Linked DNA regions of Bombyx mori. The protein of the gene in region 1 purifies or fractionates together with the protein of each later gene. This does not show direct contact. Links are inferred from orthologs where the notes say so. Each region holds a gene or a part of one and is shown in the gene's direction. Other genes may lie near its edges. The genes, in order: EKC/KEOPS complex subunit TP53RK, nucleoporin Nup43 and tRNA N6-adenosine threonylcarbamoyltransferase.

Evidence for each region.
Region 2: the proteins of EKC/KEOPS complex subunit TP53RK (region 1) and nucleoporin Nup43 purify together in Homo sapiens (affinity purification with mass spectrometry; 3 studies listed by BioGRID and IntAct, counting the BioPlex papers as one, with this or other methods). This does not show direct contact. The link is inferred for Bombyx mori from reciprocal best matches to the Homo sapiens genes TP53RK and NUP43.
Region 3: the proteins of EKC/KEOPS complex subunit TP53RK (region 1) and tRNA N6-adenosine threonylcarbamoyltransferase purify together in Homo sapiens (affinity purification with mass spectrometry; 5 studies listed by BioGRID and IntAct, counting the BioPlex papers as one, with this or other methods). This does not show direct contact. The link is inferred for Bombyx mori from reciprocal best matches to the Homo sapiens genes TP53RK and OSGEP.

The regions. Positions count from the first base shown.
Region 1 is NC_085126.1:11,106,337-11,109,655, reverse strand, and holds EKC/KEOPS complex subunit TP53RK, read left to right. Parts: upstream 1-1,419; 5' UTR 1,420-1,691; intron 1,692-1,748; exon of another isoform or gene 1,749-1,974; intron 1,975-2,062; 5' UTR 2,063-2,076; coding exon 2,077-2,778; 3' UTR 2,779-2,805; downstream 2,806-3,319.
Region 2 is NC_085111.1:1,602,249-1,606,404, forward strand, and holds the start of nucleoporin Nup43, read left to right. Parts: upstream 1-1,293; 5' UTR 1,294-1,408; coding exon 1,409-1,481; intron 1,482-1,708; coding exon 1,709-2,156; intron 2,157-2,793; coding exon 2,794-2,965; intron 2,966-4,054; coding exon 4,055-4,156. Other genes in the region: queuosine 5'-phosphate N-glycosylase/hydrolase, read right to left, coding at 1-125, 334-546, 867-974. UniProt on the Homo sapiens protein: Component of the Nup107-160 subcomplex of the nuclear pore complex (NPC). The Nup107-160 subcomplex is required for the assembly of a functional NPC.
Region 3 is NC_085117.1:15,245,520-15,249,882, forward strand, and holds tRNA N6-adenosine threonylcarbamoyltransferase, read left to right. Parts: upstream 1-1,478; 5' UTR 1,479-1,650; coding exon 1,651-1,765; intron 1,766-2,143; coding exon 2,144-2,365; intron 2,366-2,554; coding exon 2,555-2,705; intron 2,706-2,776; coding exon 2,777-2,883; intron 2,884-3,578; coding exon 3,579-3,745; intron 3,746-3,829; coding exon 3,830-4,072; 3' UTR 4,073-4,087; downstream 4,088-4,363. Other genes in the region: proline-, glutamic acid- and leucine-rich protein 1, read left to right, coding at 1-487. UniProt on the Homo sapiens protein: Component of the EKC/KEOPS complex that is required for the formation of a threonylcarbamoyl group on adenosine at position 37 (t(6)A37) in tRNAs that read codons beginning with adenine.

The DNA.
Region 1 (3,319 bases):
TTATGTATTTATACAACGTATCGACAATATATCGACAAATCAACCAAAGATACTGCAGAGGATATAGTGGTAGGTGCATTGAAACATAAATTATATTCTCAAACACGTATGTACATATTCTAATAAATACATTAAACAATTATTTAAATACTTACACAAAAAAAACATACTAGATAATCAAGACTTACGCTAAGAAAAAAACACTTACATATTTTTTATTTTTCAACGGTTCGGTATCAAGGACGTAGCGTGACGTCATTAATTAATTAATAAAATCGTTCTCATAAAATCTGTCTGCAATTTCCCGTTGCCCGCTAAAACGGGAGGGCCATGGTATGACGGTTGTGGGCGCGTCTTCATCCTACACGCATACATATCAATGCTAAAATGCGCCCAGACATTTCTATAGGACATTTCATCCCCCTACCACAGCCCTACATTTGTAGTTATGTACTTACATTGCACTAACACGAAGAGGCTATATCCACATTTATTGCCGTGTTGAGATCACTTTTCTCTTTGTAAATAATGTAATATACCTTTTTTTAATAAAAAGTTTAGTACCGAATCACTCAGCATCGGTTAATTTATGTGCAATAAAAATCTAAGTATTTATTCATAAATATTTTTCGAATTAGAAATATCCTAAAAAAGGATTTTTCGGGGAAAATTGTATTCCTTTCAATATTTCATTATTGCCTACTTGAGGTTAATCTAGTACCTACCAAATTAAGGGAAAAAAAACGAAAAAGAAGATCCTAGGTACTTATTTTTTTGTAATGTTAAAAAATAATCTAAATCGATTATAAATATTGTGTATGTAAATCAGGACGTTTACATTTTTGGCAGGCTCGCCACCGAATTAATTTTTTGTGGTTACTCACTTTTCTAGGTCCATTCTGCACAATAGTTTCGTATTCCAAACCCTCCGACATTGCTCTCACGAATTACTAAGATCACAGCAGAGTACAGTCTTTCAGTTCGGTATGTCGCATCAAACGGACACTTGTGTTCGATAACTAATATTTAACAGCCACCGGAATGGTTGAACGTCGAACCGGCACGAAAATAATCGTATAAATCACCGTTCCTTCAGTTAAATTATTATTATCATAAAATATACGAAGTTAACGCGTGGTGCCGCCGATCGGCACTGCGTACAATTCACGATTCACGCCCACAGCCTCCAACTCTCTATCTAGCTGCATTATGCACAGTAATATGTACATATCACATAAGTACATATACAGCAGGACGATAAGTAGGTAGGTATATATAGAATGTTTCGTTCCAATACCAAAGTCATGAAAGGTGCCGTCTACTTAAGACGAATTCGACATTCGCTACGAACTGCATTTCATTTTACGTAAATTAGCTTGACTACATATTTTTTGTTTATTTTCGTACAATTCCACGACTTATGTTATGTTCCTTATCGTTTATAAATAAGAGCCGATGGCCATTTTGGTTGGGGTAACCATTTCCATGTTTTTCCTTGCTCGGTACCTACACACTTTATGAGTATGGTGGCTTAGTTTAGATTCACACACACCCGCAAAGTTTTCACTATAAAAATATCAGGGTTAACTATAAAAAAAAATTACGGAAAATTGTATTCTACACACTTCTGCACAAGATGTTAAATTTATATTTATAATATTTTCTTTGCTTCAATGAGAAAACCTCATCAGGTTAGTTTTTTCTTCAATGTGGACGCAAAGTTACAAATAACAAACAAGCAAGGGCTGTCTCTAGTTACTATTTTCTTGTAGACTGTTTTAAATATTTTGTTTAAGGTAGCCCGTGCTAAGTTTGATAAATTCTTCATAATGTCAATTGTCAAGTAACGATGACAAATATCTTGTCATATGGTTCATCAACAAACTTCAACAAAGTAATACCTTCTCTGTTTATTTACAGTAGCTTCATTACATACCTCAGAGTTTTAATAATTAATTATAATTGTTCATTGAGGTAAGTAATGATAGCGAAAAGTGTATTCTGGAAGGTTAATCATAAGGAAACGCATAATAAATTCAATTTGATTCTGAACAATTTATAGGTTATATTTACAAAATGACTGAAGATTTGAAGATATTAAAACAAGGAGCTGAAGCAAAATTGTACATTTGCAATTATCTTGGAAGACCTACATTGATCAAGGAAAGGTTCGTTAAAAATTACAGACATCTTGATTTAGATACAAATATAACAAAAGAGAGAATTAAAAATGAAGCACGTTCCATTGTACGCTGTAAAACAGCCGGAATTCGTACACCGGCTTTATATTTAGTTGATTTTGAGCGTCGTCGAATTTACATGGAACATTTCGAACGGAACGTAACTGTCAAAGATTTTATCATAAATTTGACGAAAACTGGCAGTGAAAATGAAACAAACAGCCTGAACATACTAGCCAAAATGATTGGCGAAACTGTTCGAACATTACACGACACCAACATTATACACGGAGACTTGACAACTTCTAATATATTGTTGATACCGAAAAATGACAATGATAATTGGATTCAATGCTGTGAATTTCATTTGGTCATGATTGATTTTGGTTTATCATATGTTGACTCTAGTGCCGAAGACAAAGGCGTTGACCTATATGTCCTAGAAAGGGCATTAATAAGTACCCACAATGACTATCCAGAGTTATTCAATAAAATGTATGATGCATACAAAAGTTCTAGTAAGAGCAATATAAAAGAAATCATCAGTAAATATGAAGAAGTCAGAGCTAGAGGGAGAAAGAGAACTATGGTTGGTTGAGTTGTTATTAAAACATTTTACCACTTATTATTTTTGTTTTGTACTTAATATGTCATATTTAAAAGTAAACTGGCTAAAAATTCCGAGTGGAATGGGTTATAGTGTCATCAGCATATATGCTGATAACAAAAATTGGGATTTTTTTAAATGTAAAATGAAGAAGTAATTTAAACCAGGGAATATGATCGCCTTGTTTGTCTAGTAGTTACTGCTGACAATAGTCAATAGTATAATAATACTGCAGGGCTGGTTTCAATTTCCAGTTGGAACTAGTATTTCAATAAACAAATATTTGTAGTCTGGGTTTGACTGTTCTTGTTTTATTTCTGTTTTCAATCAAATTATAACTGTGCTGTTGAACATGGTATATCTATTATATTATAATGTAAAATGGGAATGTGTATGTATGTGCTATAAATACAGAACACTAAACAAGTTAGTGGGCAAAAGATCTTATTCAGACACATGTCGTGACACCCTGAACTTCCCTGGCTTCTACTACTTTCAATTTGTATGAAGCTGCAATAGCTTCCTCTTTCCC
Region 2 (4,156 bases), on another chromosome or scaffold:
TGTAGCACAGACATTCTTTCCGTAAACAATGGTATTTTAGCTTCATTATCCCCTCTCATTATCATTTCTAGTTGTTCTGTAGTTATCTTCGAATAGTATTCTGGGTTTGTTATATCATAACCTTCCTGAAACAGAGTGAATATACATATCAGCTTTCATTTTATAACTGCTCTTTGTCCTTAGCTTAAATTCAGTATTCTTTAAAAATAATGCTTGTTTTATACATAATAAAGAATACTGTTGTTATTATTGTCAATTAAATGTGCTTTTGACAAGGTCTAACAGTGCAATAATGATATCTGAGCACTCAATTTACATTATTATAATAAATACCTTAATTGCTCTATCAAGGGCAGCCTCCAAAGCATAATACCCAGAATGTCCACCAACAGTCCATTTCAGAACTCCACTGTATGACCAGAAACAGAAGTTTAACGTGTCCGCAACAAACACCCAGTCCACAGCCCTTGGGTGTTCAACATTAGGATGTATACCTGTTCCTGCATCAGGGATTTCCAGTTTACTTGTAGAAATTGACGTGAGTATCTATAAACAATGAATATAATTTGATTGTGAGTAACTGTAAATTAATGTTTATTAGTTGAAGTTCTAAGACTATTTTTTTTTACCTTTACCCTTTGTCTGAGGATGAACTCACAGCCCACATGATGTTAAATGTTAGTTACTGCATCTTATGATGTCACAATGCAAAAGTTGTCACATACCTTGAAACATAAAGTCTAAGGTTGTTACACCCTTCAAACCAGTATGCAATAAAGATTAACATGTTTATTGTTTTTCTTTTCTAATACTATTAGCCTTAATAGATTAAACTGGAACTACAATATAAATTAAATAAAGTTTACCTCTTTACATGCTTTATCTAATCCTTCTTCATGTATCTGTACATGCTTGGCATATCTAGCAATAAATTCACCGGCTTTTGCTGGCAGCAAAACAACTTCGTCATCCATGGTTATAAAATGATAGTCTGAATAAAAAGTGAAGGTGGATAGAAAATTTCAATTTGAATTTAATTGTACTAGAGTGATTTACAGTTACAGCTATGATATTCACATTAAATAAAGCAGGAACACAAAAATTTGTTATCTTCAACATCTGTGATTTTAAAAGATAAAGATATCCAAGTGCACTCTGATTGGCTAAATAACTTAAATCATAGATTATACACTTAATATATTCGAGAAATAATAAAAAAGCATTAAAAAAGTTAACGCTAATGAATGATAGAACGGTAGGTTTAAATGTCTATGGGTATACACATAAATATATACGCGAGGAGTGAAGTTGTATGATTTGTTTTATTTTGTCTATTTAGTGTTTCTTCAGGTTTAAATGTGTAATAATGGTGGTTTATTAACTGTTTAATATCTGTGAAAGTGCACAAATGTGGGAAAATAAAACAAAGCCGCTGGACGTAACTTTTCGGGATCCTCAAAAAAGTCCACTTAAAAGTCTCAGTAAATGACCACCATTTTACTGAGATTTATGTCATCCCATATCATCTCATATCATTTAATTTAATTTCATCCCAGTTGATTAATGTCTCAGTTTAATAATCTTCATTTCATTTCATTTCACTCCATATTATCATTTTTCATGAAAATAATACTTAAAATTAAAATAAAACATGACTTAAAGGTCTTAGTTACCTGGTCATAAAATCCTTTTAAAAAAATTTTTACAGCACAGAAAAGCATCAGAAAGTCCAGAAACAGGGAAGTGTGTTTATTTATCTTCTGTTGTGTTCTTGTTCATTTTATGACCCATTTGTATACAAAAATGTCAATAGATATTCAAGGAACGTTTGTTTCTCAAAAAATAAATAAAGTCAGATGGATTCCTGAAGATTATGCTGAAACAAAATGTTTTCTCACCGGTAGTTGGGATGATGAGGTCAACTTAATAACAGTTTGGACTTTTGAAAGTGTTAACGAAGACGAAGAGGTAGAATATCCTCGTGCCCTTACCAAGTATCCAGTAGATGATGATGTTACACAAATAAAATTCACGGAAAAAAACAAAATAGCCGTTTCAATATCTAATGGTGATGTAAAAATACTTGAAATTAGTGCTTATGATAAACAAACACCACTTAAAGAAATATTTTCTTGGAAGTCTTTACATAACTACGGGTGAGGTTCTAGTTTTTTTTAAACTACTAAAAGGTTAAAGCAGTTAAAACTACAATTCACGAAAACCAGAGCATACTGAAGTCAGGTGTTATGTTGTAACTGCTTTGGCACAGCATGGTAACAATAGGCACACACACCAAACATCGAGCCAGCTATCCATATCACTCTCAATGCATTCTACCAGTCAGCAAATCATTAATTACCAATTCTATCATCAAGTAACTTAAGATGTAAATTACTTTATTTGAGTAAACATACTATAAAATGTTTTCAACAATTTATATCTAATATTTTATCAACAATAACAATTTCTGTTCATTTTTTTCTAATTTTGAAGATGAATTTTATGCCTTTTTAATATAAGAATTTTAATAAATACCACAAAATATCTACACCAATGTTACAATGAAACATCAAAGTTTTATTACCTGATATTGTAACCACCAAAGAAAAAAATGTATAATTGTGTACTTTTTGTAATATTCCTACCTATGAAGCTGCCAATCATGTCGTTTTCTAGAAAACTGCTACACATTCAGTTCTTTTAAAAAAAAAGGAAATGACTGATAAGTGTTTGAATTATTTGAAAATAGCACACATAACTAATTCTTAACTCGTAACAAATGCTTTATTTCAGTAATACAAAATGCTCTGCAACATCTTTGGATACATATGAAGGAGACATAGCTAGTATTGGTGAGGATGGCAATGTGAACATATTGAGTGGCCGAAGGGGTGAAGTCAACCGTACAATCAAAGGGGCTGATAGCTGTTCATTGCATTCCATTTGTTATTTAAAACACACAGAGGTAAATCCTTAATCTCTAACTTTTTGATTAACAGAGAGTAAGTTTTAGTTTTCTTAAATATAGAATGACCAAATCAAATGATGTTTTCTTCGGTTCATAGACATACACACAGTCATAGACATCACACATCATAGACAGACATAGCGATTCAAAGACAAGTATAAAAATTACTTGTATGGTTAATAAAAATAATTTAATTTACAATAAAAATGCGAGACAGTAAATCATAAAATTAGTTTTCATTACAGAAAAAATGTTATTTTTTTTTTAATTTTTCATGCTTATATTTTTATCAACTCTGAATGGACTACTCAGAAATTCTTTTTATCTTATTCCTGATTCCCATACAAAATTGAAATCTACATATAAAATGTTATTACATATTTATTTGTAGTCGTATGTTATTTGTAGTCGTCGTGGCCTAATGGATAAGACGTCTGGTGCATAAGTGTTGAGGCGATGCACCGATGTTCGAATCTCAGGCGGGTACCAATTTTTCTAATGAAATACATACTCAACAATTGTTCACGATTGACTTCCACGGTGAAGGAATAACATCGTGTAATAAAAATCAAACCCGCAAAATTATAATTTGCGTAATTACTGGTGGTAGGACCTCTTGTGAGTCCGCACGGGTAGGTACCACCACCCTGCCTATTTCTGCCGTGAAGCAGTAATGCGTTTTGGTTTGAAGGGTGGGGCAGCCGTTGTAACTATACTTGAGACCTTATAACTTTATCTCAAGATGGGTGGCGCATTTACGTTGTAGATGTCTATGGGCTCCAGTAACCACTTAACATCAGGTGGGCTGTGAGCTGTGAGTAAAAAAAAAAATATTGTTCTGATTCTTATAAACTAAATAAAAGTAAAGAAAAGATAAAGTTCATTGATAAATGTTTTCATTGCCTATACAACAGATCAACAAATAAATATTACTTACAAATAGTCAATAGAACAGCGAGTACAAAAAAATCATTTTTATCAAAGAAAATAAAATGTTCATTATTATTATAAGAAACTATAAACAAGAGCTGGCTTTACCACAAGGTATATATTTATAAGAAACAATAAAAAAAAGTATTTTTACAGGTTATAACAGGTAACATTCGAGGCCACATCAAAATTTGGGACCTTCGATCTGAAGTAGACAAACCCGCTGCATCATTCTTACTAGCTGGAGATGAGTTAGCT
Region 3 (4,363 bases), on another chromosome or scaffold:
AGCCTCTAATGAAGTTGAAACTATATTTGAAGCCAAAACACAAATGCCGCTGAACAAAACAACAGGAAATGTGGATGATCAAGAAGAGCCATTGTCTATGGAAGTTGGATATGATTATTCTAACACTGTAAAAGAAACTATAACTATCTTAGACAAAACGGATGAAGATAATATGCAAAGCTCTGCTGACTTAGATGACATACAAATTACTTGTGGACAACAGGTTACTATCTCACAAGATGAAAATGATAAAGCTGATCAAGATATAATTAAAGACGTCAAGAGTAGTGAAGATATTGATAATGATATTCCTATAGAAAATGGTATTGATAAATCACATGAAAAGATTATCGAAAATGGTGTTATTCATGATCCATCCAATGTTTCTGAAGATGTAGCTATATTAAATACGAAGGAAATTACTGTCGAAGATATGCTTGCTGATTTCGTCGATGAGGTGAATGAAGACAATAAAACCGAGTCATGAAAATTTCCAACATAATAAAAATAAGCTTTGGTTTATTTTGCACTTAATTTAAAATATTTTTATACTTGATTTTGATGTATATGATTGTGCTATACCAATAAATGTGGAAAATAATAATACAAATATTCATACGTAATTTTACCCAGTACGACCATTATTCATTTGGCAAGTATGTTATTTCTTCATCATGAAAGAAATTCGTGAATACTTTTTACATACGTAGGTATTCCATTAGGGAAATTGATACTAGGATTTAAATACGAGTGAAATGGAACGAGTAATAAAGTTGATATGCAATGAAATAATGTCGCAGTTCGTTGATGGGATTTTCAGAATCCACGATCAGAGAATTTCTTTCATTTTCTTAGATTCGTGAACTTTTACAAGTGAAACTTTTTTAATACGTCTCACTTAATAGACCTGTAAATCTGAAACACTAAATTAACCAATTCCATCATTTCACAAATGTCTTGTGTTCTAGCCTCAAAAGTTCATAGGCCTGTTAAATGTTTAGTCTATATAAGCTTAGGCTAACTTGGTGGGACTTTAAATAGATCAACGATGGAAGCGTGTTATTGAATTTAAAAATGGGATAAAGAGTGTATGACCTGGTAACTGAGACCTTTAAGTCATGTCCTATTTTAATTTATATTCTTATTTTTATGAAAAATGATATTAAGGAGTGAAACGAAACGAAAAAAAGATGATTAATTTAAGACATTAATCAACTGGGATGAAATATAATCTCAGTAAAATGGTGGTCATTTACTGAGACTTTTTCAGTGGACTTTTTGGTAGATCCCGAGAAGTTCAGTGGCTTTGTTTCATTTTCCCACATTTGTGCACTTTCACAGATATTAAACAGTTAATAAACCACCCCTATTACACATTTAAACCTGAAGAAACACTAAATAGACAAAATATAACAAATCACACAACTTCACTCCTCGCGCTCCCGCCAAAAAGTCTACAATTGTTATCTCATCAATTTATCATAGATAATAGTACAGTTTATTATCTATATTTACATTTTAATTTTTACACCATGTATAATCTATGTTTTACACATATTAAGTGTATAATCTATGTTTTACACTATTTGTGTTAAGGAAATAATGCTCCGTTGTTTACGCTTATAAATTATAGAATTGAATCGAATAAAAATGGTAGTAGCAATAGGATTTGAGGGAAGTGCAAACAAACTGGGAATTGGTATAGTTAAAGATGGAGAAATCTTGGCCAATTGCAGAAGAACGTACATAACCCCACCCGGTGAAGGTGAAATTATCATTATTTTTAAATAAAACAATAAAATTATAGCTTAAATCATAGCTCAGTAAATTTACAATTATAAATTATCTTTATAATGTTTATCTTACACAGTATTTTATACGGAAGCTTGTGTTTTTTGTAGCAAATATACACCAATTTTTTTGTGACCTATCCTGATTTTGGAAAAAACTTCCTATACTCTGTTTGAGTTGAGCGCTAGATTAGTACTAGGAGTACGTAACAGTATTTTGTTCCATACAACTTCAGTTGTTAACATCCAAGAGTGACACGGACCATTTAAGATCAGATGGGCTGAAAGCAAGTCAGCCTTTTTTGCAATTTTTTCCCGTCAAAAGTAAAGTATAAGTATAATTGGATTTCCAGGGTTTCTTCCTAGAGAAACTGCGGAGCATCATCAACAAAACATTCATGAAGTATTGCAAGAAGCTTTGGACCAGTCTGGTCTCAATCCAGATGAAATTGACGTTGTCTGTTATACCAAAGGACCTGGTATGGGGGCGCCATTGATGGTGTGTGCAATTGTTGCCAGAACATGTGCTAAACTATGGAAAAAACCTATTTACGGTGTAAATCATTGTATTGGACGTATCCTTTTTGAAAAAATCATTCAACTAACAATGCTAATTACTAAAATGAAAAATATTGCTATTGTTATGTTTGAAATCAGATTTTTTTTAAATCTTAAGTTCTAAAACTATTAATTGAAATAAACACAAAATTTGTCTGTCTATAAATAAAATCATCAATTATTTTTTCTTACAACAATCACGTCAGATATAGAAATGGGAAGGTTGATAACCAAAGCAAATAATCCAACAGTGCTATATGTGAGTGGAGGGAATACACAAATTATAGCATATTCAAGAAAAAGATACAGGATATTTGGTGAAACTATTGATATAGCTGTTGGCAACTGCTTAGATAGGTGGGATGATAGCCACTATGAACATTTTTTTAATTGCTTTAATTATGTGACTTAAACTAGGCTTTTTTCAGGTTTGCTAGAGTTTTGAAATTGTCTAATGCTCCAAGTCCAGGTTATAACATAGAACAAGCTGCTAAAAAAGGAAAAAAGTATTTGCCCTTACCATATTGTGTTAAAGGTTTGTTAATTATTTTTTTTACTTAATTTACTACTCGAGAATCTGTGCAGATCGGGCGTGGGTTGAGCGTCAGCGGAGCTTGTTTGCTATCAATAGATTTAAGGTATGATCTACTGTGTGAAATAGGAAGGATGATTTTTTATTGCTTACTCAGGTGAAAGGGGTTATGACCTATCTGGTGTTAAGTGTTTACTAGAGCTCACAGACATCAACAATCTAAAGCTTGAAATATATTATATTATCATCATAAACATCTTGAAATATAAATTCTAAGTCTTTGTTCTATTTATTATACAGCAACTGCCCCACTGTTCAAACAGGAATTGCTTTGTGTCATAAATAGATAGGTACCTATTTGTGCAGGATTACAAGAGACTACCACCTGTATTATGCATATTATAGTTTTTGCAGGTATGATTTTTGTTGTATAGTGCTCTTAGCAGTGTCATTCTACTGCATTTGCAAACAGAGCATTGAACATCTTCATCATCACATGCTGTATGAATCTATGTAAATCATGACAAATATGGATAGTCGTGTTTTTGATGTGATTTGTGTTAAAATTAAAATAGTTTGTATAAAAAAGTGATCCTTGCAATCAGTTATCTGCTGCTGAATTTGGAATCTTTAAATCAGTATTTATATATTTACTTTTGTAAACTACATGTTTTTGAGTAAACTGAACTTTCTTTTAGGAATGGACGTAAGTTTTTCTGGTATCCTATCGTACATGGAGGATAAAATTGACGAATTATTGAAAGAATATACTCCGGAAGACTTATGTTATTCTTTGCAAGAAACTGTTTTTGCAATGCTAGTGGAGATCACTGAACGAGCTATGGCTCACTGCGGTTCTGATGAGGTTTAATTTTTTTATATATTGAAAACTTTTCTTTGAACATTATCGATTTTTTAAATATATCGACATTGTTTTTTTCTTTCTCAGGTATTAATAGTAGGTGGAGTTGGGTGCAATGAGCGACTTCAAGAGATGATGGGAGTAATGTGTCATGAACGAGAGGCTAAGATATTTGCTACCGATGAGAGATTTTGCATAGATAATGGAGTGATGATAGCATATGCTGGTGCCCTTGCTCATGCTTCTGGCACTCGCATGGATTTCAAAGATGCAACAATTACACAAAGATATAGGACAGATGATGTTCTTGTTACGTGGCGAGATGATTAAATATTTATACTATAATGTAGTGTTAATTTTCTTTTACCTTTAAGAACCGTTTTTGAAGCTTAAAAAGATTTTTAAGACTTTTTAAGAATTTATAAGGACGTAAGTCCTTTCGCTCGCAGCGGTGGTCACTTTGTATCGCTTGGTTGGATTTCCATCCTCTTTCCCAGGGTTCAAACTATTTTCGCTAGAACTATGACACTATTACAAAATAATTACACAATTAAAGCCCGGTTTCCACCGCGAGCGGAACGGACCCATTAATTACTCCTGTTACCTCTCAATACAAAACTG